Schizosaccharomyces pombe: one gene and its partners. Changing the gene in region 3 together with the main gene of any one other region gives a genetic interaction. Each region holds a gene or a part of one and is shown on either strand. Other genes may lie near its edges.

Region 1 (6,204 bases), on a different chromosome or scaffold from region 3:
TGTGCTTGACATTCTCCCTCTTTTTCATTTCCTCTAATAACTCTTCTCCTTCTATAATATGAATATCAAAAGCTGGAGGAATAGAGGGTGTAATTTTCGATGTAGTCGGTTTGCCCTCAATGGAATTACAAAGCAATTCAACATCACCTAGTCCGGTATCCGAAAAGTTTTGAAGATGGCTATTAATTGCTGAACGAAAGGCACGCCATGTCTTCGTTGCCAAGGACTGTTCATGGAAATGCTTGTCATCATCTCTAACTGCCTCTTCTATTTCAAACTTGTCTGCTTTAACGCCAGATAAAAAGCTCTCAGGTGATGGAATCCGGTACCTTTCCTCCTTTTTGAGATCATCAAGGGTATTTTCTCCAGCCTGCTCCCAGAGCCTCGACAAAGCAGCATTTCCCATAGCAAATCTTAATTTCACTGGGGTGTTTGTAAGCTTTTTTAAGCCTTCGACAGCTTCATCAATAGCCGCTTTATCTACTAGGGGTTTTTCAAGGGAAGGGCAGCCAAGCCCTTTCCATAATTTCCAATTACCCTCAATATGTATAATTTCTTTAATGGTTCTTTGCACAGAACCACACCGGGCAGTATGTAAGAAACTATATGCTTCTTTGGATAATTCATTTAACTTTGAGGTCTACATATTAGCAATCAATAAAATCAGTTTTTTTCGAGTCTAAAAAAGAACATACATCTTCGTCAGACAAAATAACAATGGGAATTACCGCCTTATTTGTCCATTTTTCAAGAGTTCTCCTTTCAATTCGTTCTTTAGAATGGTCAAGCAAAAAGTCGAAAATAATAATTAATTGTAAAATAGCCTGTAACCGGAAATCTTCATCTGAAAGTTGGTATTCAAAAAGCGACCGAGAATATATATATTTAGAAGGAAATCCTTTATCCAAAGTTATATATTTTTCAGAAAGTAATGAGCTAGAGTTTGGATCAATTGTAGGGTTTGACTTCCCATTGAAGAACGTATTTTGTAATATAGATTCGAATGCCTGTATTGCAGAACCAGCTGCATCTATAAACTTAGGTAAGGTATCACTTGCTAGTAATTTAGGAGGGTTGGAGCACATACACTGCAAATCCCAATAAGCAGTAAATAAGGTATTAAGTTTTTTGTGATATGAGAGGTCTGTTCGGTCCGAAATGGGTGTGGATGGTGGTGACAGTTCTACCTTCCCAAAAGAATGAACAGTATTATAATCTCCACGTAAATTGGCTCCACTCCGTTCTTCAGGGGGGAAAGCCTTACTTAGCAGAATATCGATCCGCCCACAAAAAGATGAATTTTCTTGCCGAGAAAGACGCCGGAGTAATTCATTTGATATCCGAAGCAAAACGGGTCCTCTTCCACGATTGCTGACAATACCTTTCATCAAGCTAGGTCTGGTTTCAAAATATTCATATAATTTGGCGCATTCGTTGACGGTGTGAATGTCCATCAGCTCTTCCAAGATTAGAAAAGGCAACAGGTGATCACAGAAGCTTTCGTTAATTTCGTTCCCTATTACTAAGAGATCCAAAATCGCAAATAAACATTTTAATCGCTCCTCCAATCCAATCTCACTTTTGCGCTACACGAAAATAACAATTAGTAACTTAAGGAAAACTTCATTATGGAAAAAGCACATACTGCTGTTTCATAACAGCAAAATCTTATTGCCGTTTCAAACTCAGTTGAGTTATGAAAACTCTCAACAATCGAAGGCCATAATTCTTTGATGAATAATTCATATTCAGAACAAAGTGGACTCTTATCCAGTTCTTTTGCCTTTTCTAATGGATATGTATTATAAAAAGCTTCAATTAAACCCTTTTGCACCTCCATTACTTTAAAAGTCTGCGAATATACAATCCGCGCGCAGAAACGTGAGTTTATCTAGCATTGACAATGTCATTTAGAAATAAGGATTTATTCGTTATTGCTTTGTGTGGTTCATTGCTTCTCGCTATAACAGGAGCAGCATGAAGGAATATGTAATTTTGCCCTTAACCAAACAACAAAGTATTTTCTTAAATTTGCAGTGAGTCTGAAAATGAGACTTTATTTAAGAAATTGATAGGATATGAGTGTCAATGAAGATCTATCCCATTTAGGGGTTTTTTCGGTTGACCAAGAGAATTTGGAACGCGATGTTACGAATACTGCTAGTGAGTACATTGCACATGAAAGTCGAGAGATCGAAAAGAAGAGACTTCAAAAAGTCAGGAAAGAAATATCTTCTGTAAAAGAAAAAATACGTCGCCTTGATGAGCGTATAGACAGTCGACTTACAAAAATAAGTGTCAAGGAGAACTTCCGCAAACAATTATCTAAATTCCGAGACACTCTTCAAAGTTTACAATCAGACGAAAATGATATTAAGAGAAGACTTAATAACGAAGATTCGGCAAATGCCCCTGGTATAGGTGCATTTTCGACTGAAGAATTGGAAAGACAAGAGCTCATCCGTACTGGTAAGGTTACACCGTTTCGAAATCTCTCTGGACTACAAAAAGAAGTTGATTTTGATGATGAATCTAGCATTCGTGAGGCTGTTATAAAGTCTGAAGGAACATACTATGAAACGGCACCTCATTTGAGTTCGGAGCCGTCAAATATTGATCATGGGATTATTCCAAGAGACGAAAAAGATGAGTACGTAACTGTGGATGCTGTTACGGAGAAAGTAGTAACTGCCGCTATAGATGATGGAGATGATTTGGTATATCGACAAAGGCTTAATGCTTGGTGTGCGAATCGTAAGGAATTACGAGATCAGGCCTCAGCATCTGAAAACAATAAAGATAGAGGAGAGTTTGAAGGTAAAGATGAGTGGTTACTACCTCATCCTTCCAAAAAAGGACAGACTTTTGAGGGTGGATTTACCATCCCAGGTGATATTCGCCCACATCTTTTCCGTTATCAAGTCACTTGCGTACAATGGTTATGGGAACTCTATTGTCAAGAGGCCGGAGGAATCATTGGTGATGAAATGGGACTAGGAAAAACTATTCAAATAGTATCTTTCCTTTCGTCTTTGCATCACTCTGGCAAATTTCAAAAGCCTGCACTTATCGTTTGTCCAGCGACTTTAATGAAGCAGTGGGTTAATGAGTTTCATACATGGTGGGCTCCATTACGTGTTGTTGTTCTTCATGCTACTGGCAGCGGACAGCGTGCTTCACGCGAAAAGAGACAGTATGAATCTGACGCTTCTGAAAGTGAAGCGGAAGAAAGCAAAACCTCCATAAAATTAAGAGGTGCTTCAAGTTCATTCCACAGATACGCTAAGAACTTAGTTGAAAGTGTCTTCACTAGAGGCCACATTTTAATTACAACATATGCTGGTTTAAGGATATATGGTGATTTGATTTTACCACGGGAATGGGGTTATTGTGTTTTGGATGAAGGGCACAAAATACGAAACCCAGATTCTGAAATATCTATTTCGTGTAAGCAAATCCGTACTGTGAATAGGATTATCCTCTCAGGGACTCCGATCCAGAACAACCTTACCGAGCTTTGGAATTTATTTGATTTTGTATTTCCTGGAAGATTGGGTACATTACCGGTATTTCAAAATCAATTTGCCTTACCTATTAATATTGGTGGTTATGCCAATGCTTCAAATGTTCAAGTGCAAACCGCTTATAAATGCGCCTGCATGCTTCGAGATTTAATTTCTCCTTATTTACTTAGAAGAATGAAGCTTGACGTTGCTGCAGATTTACCTAAGAAGTCCGAACAAGTATTGTTCTGTAAGCTGACTCCTTTACAAAGGAAAGCTTACCAAGATTTTTTGCAAGGCTCTGATATGCAAAAGATCTTGAACGGAAAGCGTCAAATGCTTTATGGAATTGATATACTACGAAAAATTTGTAATCATCCAGATCTTGTAACTCGAGAGTACTTGTTACATAAAGAAGATTACAACTATGGTGATCCTGAAAAGTCTGGCAAACTGAAGGTTATTAGAGCATTACTAACTTTGTGGAAAAAACAAGGACATAGAACTCTTCTATTTTCTCAGACTCGCCAAATGCTCGACATACTGGAAATAGGATTAAAGGATTTGCCGGATGTTCATTACTGTCGCATGGATGGTAGCACATCTATTGCTTTAAGACAAGATTTGGTGGACAACTTTAATAAAAATGAGTATTTTGATGTGTTTCTTCTAACTACTCGTGTTGGTGGATTAGGAGTCAATTTGACTGGTGCTGACAGGGTAATTCTTTTTGATCCTGATTGGAATCCCTCAACGGATGCTCAAGCACGTGAACGTGCTTGGAGACTGGGCCAAAAGAAAGATGTAGTAGTTTATCGGTTGATGACTGCTGGAACTATTGAAGAAAAAATTTATCATCGTCAAATCTTTAAGCAGTTTCTGACTAACAAAATTTTGAAAGATCCAAAACAAAGAAGGTTTTTTAAAATGACGGACTTGCACGATTTGTTTACGTTAGGCGATAACAAGACTGAGGGCACTGAGACAGGCAGCATGTTTTTGGGATCTGAACGAGTACTTCGAAAGGATAATTCCTCAAGAAATGGCAATGAAGCTGAAGATATTCCAGCTCGTGACCGAAAAAAGCACAAAATTCACGACAAAGGTAAAAAAGTTAACAGCTCCAAAGTGTTTGAAAAAATGGGGATTGCATCGATGGAAAAGTATAAACCACCGCAAGAGTCAAATGTTACTAAGACAAACTCTGATTCGACTTTAGGGGATGATTCCGTCCTTGATGATATTTTTGCTAGTGCTGGTATTCAGAGTACTTTAAAGCACGACGATATCATGGAAGCCTCCCAGACTGAAAGCATATTGGTTGAAAAAGAAGCGACGCGTGTTGCTAATGAAGCTCTGCGTGCAGTTTCATCTTTTCGGCGACCTCCTCGTCAACTTATACCTCCGCAGCAATCTACTAATGTTCCTGGTACTTCTAAACCATCAGGTCCGATTACTTCAAGCACTCTTCTTGCCCGACTAAAACAGAGACGATGAATTAATTAGAAGAAGTTCGCCTTAGAGTAAGCTGTATCCATTAAAATTTCGGACCCAATCTTGTACCCATTTATTTATTTATTATTATTTCCCTTTATTTTGTACATTAAGTTTTTCATGATTTAAGCTTTATTTATGGATTTATTGATAGACACGCGATCATTTCATTTTTTGAATGGGAATTATCCTTATTACTAGGTGGGTTTACTTTGCTTGAAAAGTATTGGAAATGTCAATTCCATGTTGAGGATAGGGCTGTCGGAATTACTTTGATCATTTTTCCCTTTTGTTAAAGTACTTGGTTAAAGTGTGTTAATGTTATTGTAAGCAAGCACTTGACAAATTCGCTTTACCTGAGACCTAAAATTAGCGTTAATAACTTTCTAGTTGGCTGAGAAAAGTATGAACACTCAAAGCGGCTTAGTTAGTGGTATGTGCAACCCGTGCAACCCTTTTTGTAGCTATAAATTACTACGTTCTTTTGTCAACGTTATTAGAATGCTAGAGTCATGTTTGTTGACAGTGTCAGAAAAGACCTTTTAATTAGAAAACTAGTGGTTCAAAAATTTTGATGTCTTGGTGCTTATTGGCGAACTTATTACTAGTACTTTTTCATTTTATATAAATTAATATTTGTATATAAGCAATGCAACCGCATCTAACCATTTTTACACACATATTTGGTTTTACCAAAAACTTGACTCGTTAATTAATTTTGGGAGCTGCAACCAACGCTGTACTTTCGTAAGATTACTTGAAATTCGAAGTCTATGTAGTTCGCTGAAACAAAATAAGACTCTGCTTCAAACAATGTTCTCTGTTGGTAAAAAAATCTCTTTTATTTTGCCTATTAAGGGCGTATTGCAAAAATTAAAGGATAATGCTCAAAAAACCGTTCTCTTGGATGCTACTTGGTACTTGCCAACAGACACTAAAAACGGAAAGAAGGAGTATTTAGAAAGTCGTCTTCCAGGTGCTCAATACTTTGATATAGATGAGGCTAAAGATCACAAAAATCCCCTTCCTCATATGCTTCCTCCAGCTGACGAATTCGCCTCTTACGTTGGAAAATTAGGAATTGACAGAAACGTAAGTAGTAGTTTAGAAATTCCAATTACTTAGTCTTCAATTTTACTAATATTTTAGACCAATGTTATCATTTATGACCGAAAAGGGTTTTTTTCGTCTCCTAGGGTTTTCTGGA
Region 2 (4,159 bases), on a different chromosome or scaffold from region 3:
GTTAGTTCTGAACGCCAACAAATATCTTTACAAGAGCGACTTCATGCTAAACAAGATGAAGCTCCCTCTGATGAGCCTGCACCTGTCCCCTATACCGCAAGTTATGTTGCGAATTCTGGAACCTTATACGACTATCCAACGTTAATACGGTTAGCTATTCGTAACACCCTCTCACCTTCCAAAGATGAAATATTTAACTGGCTTGCTCAAAACGTACCATTGTTACCAACTTTTCACGACAGCGCTTCCGAGGCCATTCGTTGGATGGTAAATAAAGGTCAACTGGTCCGTTCCGGTAGCATCTATCAAATAGCAACAGTCGAAGAATACCCTCACCTCCAACCCTCTTTACTTCCTACTTTTCAACGAAACCGTAAGGTACCTAAATTGGTGCCTGTCTCTTTCCCCACCGATGATCCTCAAAATTTATGTGCTACTGTTTTATGAAACTGAACAAATTTTTCTAAATGTATAGACAAAAAAAATTTCTTTACTTCCCGTTTTTAATTAAACGGTTGCGTCCCGTTAATCTCGAAATAAATTTATAAGCGGTCGAAAGCAATGTATCATTACACCATGTATTAGCTGCAAATCAAAGTACTTTAGTATTTCCTTCATGGATTCAAACTTTTCACTCGATAACAAATCTAGGGAAAATACATAAATCGCCCTACACACTTTCTGTTTACATTATAAACTTTTCGTTTGGAATGTTTCCTCGCCATGAAATCTTAAAATAAAATAAAATAAGGAAATGAACAATTTCTCAATTTAGCAATAATTAAGAAAGTCAATGAAGTATAATAAAAAATAATTATTTTTAAAGTATGACTTACAACCATTATTATCGGTCAATGTCAGGGTGTTACAGCGCACCTTCTACTTACCACCAAAGATGAGGTCCACGTTGGCTAGCGCTCAGAAAGCAGCCGTACGTATTCCAAAGGGCTTTGTATTTCCTGTTCCAAAAGTAAAAAGTGCTCCTAAGGTTTCAGACACGCACCCTTTGTGGAATTTCTTTCGGGACAAGCAAGCCCTTCCACCACCATCGGAAGAGGCTAAATTCGGTAGAGCATGGGCTGCAGAAGAGCTTCGTTGGAAGTCTTTTAATGATCTACATGGACTTTGGTACAATTGTCTCCGAGAGAAGAACCTATTGTTCACACAAAGGGCTGAAATGAAACGCTTACAGTTGACTATTCCCAAAGCCTCAAATGAGCGTGTACTTGCAGTCAATAAAACCATGGCAGCTATCAAATTTGTCCTATGGGAACGCCAAAGAGCATATACTTCTGCCAAGCAGCTCGAGAAACAAAAGGGATCTTCTTAAACCCCTTCCTTTTAGGAAAACAGAAAATCATCCAAGTATGGCTTTATTATGATCTAAAGCTTCATCATTTCACAAACTTTCTAAAAATATACCCTAATACACGAGAAACTGTTTTATAATGATGATAATGATTTTTTATTTTGTTCACCTATAATTGTTTTCTTTATTTTGTTTATACTGATCATAAAATCTCGGTTGTCCCGGCAACCATGCTAATGTCTTTACACGAAATTTAGGAAATCGCATTCTATCCACATCCATTTGTTTAGACTTTTGTTTCGTGTGACAATCGATAATTTGAATGAAATAGTTTTTTTCTTTGTTTTTCGGATCCATGGATTGTGGAAATCCGCTGTTTTTACAATGGATACAGGAGTGGATGGAAGAGTCGACGCGTCGCTTCCCCAAGTCATATCAAACCTGGAGAAAGGTAGGAAATTTATTGGATTAGTGAAAAACTCTTTGAAAAATAAATAATTTAAATATTAAATTAATAATGACTGTAATTTTTCGAAAGCTTTTATAGCTTCGTACTCCATAAATATCATAACAATCACTGTTGTTGTTGTTTTAAATAAGAAACCGTGCTAATAATTAGGCCTACGATTCAATGAAAAGTTGCCCCATCACATTTCATCGTCCTTCTCAGGCATTGGCACTGAAGGGAATTGGCCCTACGATTTGTGCCAAGCTAGAAAAGAAATGGAACGCTTACTGTTTGGAAAATAATATTCCAATTAGCACGCACAATGAACAGAATGATTCTCATGTCAATGCTAATAAATCGTCTTCTGAGACTTCTTCTGAAAAGCCTCGAAGCGTTAAAAAACCGACTACAAGAAAGAGAAAGGTCTATGTTCCGAGCTATCGTTCTGGTGCATATTCAATTCTTTGCGCTCTTTATATGCTTAATAAACACGAATTCGCTACAAAGCCTCAAATTGTTACGATGGCCCAACCGTATTGTGATTCGTCCTTTGGATCTGCTACAGACCGAAACATGCGTTATACTGCATGGAGTGCTATGAAGACTTTGATCACAAAAAATTTAGTTTACCAGACAGGTCATCCCTCTAAGTACTGCTTGACCGACGATGGTGAAGAAGTTTGCATACGTTTGGCAAAAGTAGACGATTCCTTTCAACGGAAACATACTGTATCAAACTTTTCTGTCTCTAAATCCGATGATCATGATTCCTCTTTATGCCAACCTCCAAATTTTGTTACATCAATCAATAAAGCAGGAAGTTCTTCAGACCACGGAGGTGAACTACATGTTACTTACTGTCCGGTAGATCATAATGAAGTTTCTGATGGTGTTGAAACCGATATAGATGTTGATCAGGTGGATTCGTTGACCGGAATTCATGATCACCATATCATTAACAATGAGCAGTTGATTGACTTGACGGAACAAGAAAAAAAGCAACCAAATGAAAGCAATTTGTCTAACTTAAAAATCGAGACGGTATTATTCTCAAACTGTACGGTTTTTCTTCTGATTGATACTCGAGAAATACGTTCTCCCTTGGATCGCAATCTTATTATCGATAAACTGACTAATGACTTTGGTGTCAATTGTCAGGTACGATCATTAGAATTGGGAGATGCTTTATGGGTTGCAAGGGATATGGAAAGCGGTCAAGAAGTTGTGTTGGATTTTGTCGTTGAAAGGAAAAGATATGATGATTTAGTTGCTTCCATTAAGGACGGAAGATTTCACGAACAAAAGGCACGTCTAAAGAAGAGCGGAATACGTTCAGTCACCTACATTTTGGAGGAATCCTCTTATGATGAAAGTTTCACGGAATCAATTCGTACAGCTGTTAGCAATACCCAAGTCGATCAATTATTTCATGTCCGTCATACGCGATCACTTGAACACAGCGTAAGTTTGCTTGCTGAAATGACAAAGCAAATTAACCTGTTTTATGAGAAACGTAAAACCCTCGCTGTCATTCCCGATTTGTCGATAGAAGCCAAAACTTATGAGTCGTTACGAGAGCAACTTCTAAAAATTGATCCCTCAACTCCTTACCACATATCATACCATGCATTTTCCTCTGTCCTCTCGAAGTCTTCTACTTTGACCGTGGGGGATATTTTTATTCGAATGCTTATGACTATAAAAGGTATAAGTGCTTCAAAAGCCATCGAGATTCAGAAGAAATATCCAACATTCATGCATTTATTTGAGGCGTACGAAAAGTCATCATCTAGCCAGGAAAGAAACTTATTACTGAATAAGACTTGTCAAGGCTATGGTTTTCAAACAATAGGGCCAGCACTTTCCGCCAAGGTCGCAAGCGTTTTCTTTCCAGAATCTTGAGCCTTTGAACTTTTATTTATTTATGATTCATAATATTTATTCAATTTTCTTATCATTTCCCATATATTTAATTTACCTTTGCTTTACCATCGGAAATTGCGTATGTTAGTGTATTGCGGTATATAGGTAGCATCAGATTCCCTTCAAATCGTGAGTTTCTACCTAGCACTATCCATAAACAAAACCGTTACACTTGGTATTCGTTTTTGAAACTGCTGTATCATGTCACGTTTAAGAGCTCCTGTTGCTAAATTTTTAGCTGATGGATTGAAAGGAATCAGGTCTACAGCTTTGGCTGGCTCTCGATTGTCTAATTGTCGCTATACCAGTACTAGCTCGAAAGATACTGATACCTCAAGCCACATGACTCATTTTGGATTTAAAGACGTTCCGGAAGATGAAAAAGAGCACCTTGGTATGTATGGAAGAACTGGTTTGCTAGGACATGTGATTTGATTGTAAATCATAACATTTTGCATTTTGCATTTACTGAAGAAATT
Region 3 (4,469 bases):
GATGTCGAAGATTCAGGTTCCCCCTCAGATGTCTCTGATTTCTGCGCAGTGGGGCGTGAAGGAGTCGCATAAGTTGAAGGAGTGGAGGATGCCTCTAACAAGGCGTTAATAAACGGGGTCATGCTGTAGTCTTTGGCAAGAGCCAAGGCATCTGCAGGAGGCACCCATAGTCCAGCAACACGTTTGTCTTCAATTGGGTTTAAATTATCACGAATCCATCTCATTTCCAAGTCTTCTTCTTCTTGGGTAGCCTTAGGGAAAGCTGAACGAAACCTAATCGGGTTTAGATTTTTAGAAAAAGATATGAAAAAACGCTTACATTGACGTAGCACTAATGCTTGAATCCTTTGCCATCCTCATAAGAAAGTGAGGTCTATATTTATATACATCATTAGTATTTTTCCAAAAACAACACTGCAAAAAAAAGATAATTACACTTTAGATTCCGGATTTGTACACTTGAGACGAACAAAAGTAGCTGGTCCATCAGGAAATTCTATTACCTGAGCGCGACACTTTGGGATTAATGGTGTATCTGCTATATTAGTTTCACGTAATTTCGGGAAGCGCGTACGGTCAAGTGTATCGTCTTTATAGAGAGGGTTTCTAATATCAATTAGTCGTTTTCTTTAAATATACGAACCTTTCAGCAGGTAAAGACCTGCTTTTCTCATTCTCAGTCATGGTATTCAATTAAGGGGAAAGGTAACAATTAATCGCCGTCGTCGACGTTTGTATAATTCCTCTCTTACAACGTTTATGTAATAGCTGATTGTATAGAGCAATAGTGGTGCTACCTTAAATGATAATATCGAGTGATGCTAGGACGTACTTCGTTATAAACTATGTGCAAAGCAAGAATTACTAATTCTTTAAACACCTCGAGGTCATGTATAGTCGATGCTTATGCTGAAATGTAATGTTAATATTGTTTATTTGAAGATTCAATGTGGTTCCAATTTTTTACGCTTTTCTGTTGGGATACAAACTTAAGGAAAATATTCACACGCGGGCAGCACGCTGCCAAATGTTAAATATAAGAAGCGCTGATCATTTATTTCTGCTAGAAGTTTGTTTTGTCAATCGATCAGCCAGGTCGGCAAAAACGATGCGGCAGTAAGAAGCGTTCTTCATGCTACTGGTTGTAATAGTATTTGCAGAAAAAACCAATCGTTTCGCTGATGCAGCTATCTACGGTTCTAAAGATATACTGTATTTTATCGTAAACAATTCGCTTCGTTTACTCTACCTACATTGCGATTTCGCAATGATGGCTTCTCAACCAACTCATTAATGCTGATGGTATTAAATCTATTGTGAATTACACGGTAATTGTTTGTATATTTTTAAAGATGTCCATGTCAGCAGAAAGCAGCATTAAGACGGTTCATAATACAATATAAATGACCCGAATCCGCCTACTTCTGCTTCCCATACACACATATGCTACAGATGGTAAAATAAATTGTCGCGACTCCTTGACTTGGCCAAATTTTCATTTCAAATGTTTTTTCCTATCTGCTGTTTTTTTGATTGTTCAACTGAATCTGCAATTATTAAAGAGAAAGCAACACAATCTTTTTACTTAACATTGTATTGCTAAACTAAGCTCGATTTGAGAAACCAAAATTTCCTCGTAAAAGCAGTCCTATCTACACTGAACAATAACTGTCAAAAGTTGAATCCCTTGAGCATCAGTAATCTCATGGCCTTCCAATAAAATCATAGCGAATTTTGACGTAACAATGATACAAAACCATTTTTGGTTTACTGGGAATGAAAGAAGATTTGTCTTCACACTCGTTGATTTTGACTAGTATTGAGTCTCAATCACTTCTTGTCGATATCTCTTTTCACTTACAAGATAATAGTTGTAGGGATATAAGCAAGTTTGCGAAGGGCTTATTTCCTTCTAAATAATGTCATATTGATACTAAAATCGTTTTCATTTTTTAATGCTTAGGCTATTGAAACGAAATATTCAAATCTCTAAACGCATTGTTTTCACCATATTAAAACAAAAGGCATTTAAAGGTAATCATCCTTGTGTACCGTCGGTTTGTACCATTACTTACTCTCGTTTTCATTGTTTACCCGATACCCTTAAAAGTTTACTTCCAATGAGCTCAAAAACCACACTCTCAATGTTACCGCAAGTTAATATCGGTGCGAATTCATTCTCTGCCGAAACACCAGTCGACTTAAAAAAAGAAAATGAGACTGAGTTAGCTAATATCAGTGGACCTCACAAAAAAAGTACTTCTACGTCTACACGAAAGAGGGCACGTAGCAGTAAAAAGAAAGCGACAGATTCTGTTTCCGATAAAATTGATGAGTCTGTTGCGTCCTATGATTCTTCAACTCATCTTAGGCGATCGTCGAGATCAAAAAAACCGGTCAACTACAATTCCTCGTCAGAATCCGAATCGGAGGAGCAAATTAGTAAAGCTACTAAAAAAGTTAAACAAAAAGAGGAAGAGGAGTATGTTGAAGAAGTCGACGAAAAGTCTCTTAAAAATGAAAGTAGCTCTGACGAGTTCGAACCGGTTGTGCCGGAACAGTTGGAAACTCCAATTTCTAAACGAAGACGGTCTCGTTCTTCTGCAAAAAATTTAGAAAAAGAATCTACAATGAATCTTGATGATCATGCTCCACGAGAGATGTTTGATTGTTTGGACAAACCCATACCCTGGCGAGGACGATTGGGGTATGCTTGTTTGAATACTATTTTAAGGTCAATGAAGGAGAGGGTTTTTTGTTCACGCACCTGCCGAATTACAACCATTCAACGTGATGGGCTCGAAAGTGTCAAGCAGCTAGGTACGCAAAATGTTTTAGATTTAATCAAATTGGTTGAGTGGAATCACAACTTTGGCATTCACTTCATGAGAGTGAGTTCTGATTTATTTCCTTTCGCAAGCCATGCAAAGTATGGATATACCCTTGAATTTGCACAATCTCATCTCGAGGAGGTGGGCAAGCTGGCAAATAAATATAATCATCGATTGACTATGCATCCTGGTCAGTACACCCAGATAGCCTCTCCACGAGAAGTCGTAGTTGATTCGGCAATACGTGATTTGGCTTATCATGATGAAATTCTCAGTCGTATGAAGTTGAATGAACAATTAAATAAAGACGCTGTTTTAATTATTCACCTTGGTGGTACCTTTGAAGGAAAAAAAGAAACATTGGATAGGTTTCGTAAAAATTATCAACGCTTGTCTGATTCGGTTAAAGCTCGTTTAGTTTTAGAAAACGATGATGTTTCTTGGTCAGTTCAAGATTTATTACCTTTATGCCAAGAACTTAATATTCCTCTAGTTTTGGATTGGCATCATCACAACATAGTGCCAGGAACGCTTCGTGAAGGAAGTTTAGATTTAATGCCATTAATCCCAACTATTCGAGAAACCTGGACAAGAAAGGGAATTACACAGAAGCAACATTACTCAGAATCGGCTGATCCAACGGCGATTTCTGGGATGAAACGACGTGCTCACTCTGATAGGGTGTTTGACTTTCCACCGTGTGATCCTACAATGGATCTAATGATAGAAGCTAAGGAAAAGGAACAGGCTGTATTTGAATTGTGTAGACGTTATGAGTTACAAAATCCACCATGTCCTCTTGAAATTATGGGGCCTGAATACGATCAAACTCGAGATGGATATTATCCGCCCGGAGCTGAAAAGCGTTTAACTGCAAGAAAAAGGCGTAGTAGAAAAGAAGAAGTAGAAGAGGATGAAAAATAAAAATCCGTCATACTTTTTGATTTATGGCATAATTTAGCCATCTGCATTTTCAATGCAATCATTTTTGTCTTTTTGGCTCTAGATATTTCCGAAAAAATTCACTAGAGTACTATTTATTTTCTTATTTGCTTACTGTCCATGCTAATATTTAATCTAAAAGTTATTGTTTTATTTACAATCAAATTTCAATAAAACATTTCAATTAAATATAAAATTTAAACTAGTAATTTACGATTTACACGAATTATGTAAAACTTTAAGCAATTCCGGTCATATTGGTATTGTCGTTTTCTGATCAATATTATAATTCCTTTCCACTAATCTTCGTAAGCTTGTGTAACTTAACTGCAAAAATTCTCAAGGCTTCGAAAGATTAAATGAGCTTCTCTTTATTCATATACAATGTCAAACAAAAATCAAAGGAAAACTAAGTCAAAAGATAGAGAAGTTCGTAAAACCAATGACAGCTCAATTCTTTCAAAAGCCTCAGTTGAAAAATGTGGATATCCAGGTTTTACCGTAGGACATTCTTATTATCAACCGTTTATACAGAAATCACCTAGAAGATCGCCAAGCGTAAATAGAGGTTATTGGACACGATGCATGGCTATTCGATTTGCAGTGTACCAGTTTTTGAAGAATAAAACCGGCAAAAGAAAGGCAATAGTGAATTTAGGTGCAGGATACGACCCCTTAGCCTTTCAACTTTTAAGT

The links.
Region 1: of uve1 (region 3) and rhp26, changing one enhances a phenotype caused by changing the other (phenotypic enhancement), as found in Schizosaccharomyces pombe (3 studies listed by BioGRID).
Region 2: mutations in uve1 (region 3) and mus81 impair growth when combined (synthetic growth defect), as found in Schizosaccharomyces pombe (2 studies listed by BioGRID, with this or other methods).

What each region holds. Positions count from the first base shown.
Region 1 is NC_003421.2:1,178,432-1,184,635, reverse strand, and holds rhp26 (SNF2 family helicase Rhp26 ), read left to right. Parts: upstream 1-1,997; 5' UTR 1,998-2,078; coding exon 2,079-5,000; 3' UTR 5,001-5,704; downstream 5,705-6,204. Other genes in the region: THO complex subunit Tho1, read right to left, coding at 1-640, 696-1,586, 1,646-1,840; thiosulfate sulfurtransferase Tum1, read left to right, coding at 5,811-6,089, 6,147-6,204. UniProt on the Schizosaccharomyces pombe protein: Involved in transcription-coupled repair (TCR).
Region 2 is NC_003421.2:461,056-465,214, forward strand, and holds mus81 (Holliday junction resolvase subunit Mus81), read left to right. Parts: upstream 1-1,664; coding exon 1,665-1,760; exon of another isoform or gene 1,761-1,769; intron 1,770-1,926; exon of another isoform or gene 1,927-1,928; coding exon 1,929-3,659; downstream 3,660-4,159. Other genes in the region: PHD finger domain-containing protein Phf1, read left to right, coding at 1-447; mrpl4 (mitochondrial 54S ribosomal protein uL29m), read left to right, coding at 896-1,330; coq5 (C-methytransferase), read left to right, coding at 3,882-4,074.
Region 3 is NC_003423.3:2,837,072-2,841,540, reverse strand, and holds uve1 (endonuclease Uve1), read left to right. Parts: upstream 1-1,955; coding exon 1,956-3,755; 3' UTR 3,756-3,969; downstream 3,970-4,469. Other genes in the region: integral nuclear inner membrane protein Bqt4, read right to left, coding at 1-273, 320-373, 436-535, 575-606, 644-684; tRNA methyltransferase Ppm2, read left to right, coding at 4,158-4,469. UniProt on the Schizosaccharomyces pombe protein: Endonuclease for the repair of UV-irradiated DNA. Involved in the excision of cyclobutane pyrimidine dimers (CPD) and 6-4 pyrimidine pyrimidones (6-4PP) which forms the UV damage repair (UVDR) pathway. Also functions in oxidative damage repair in vivo.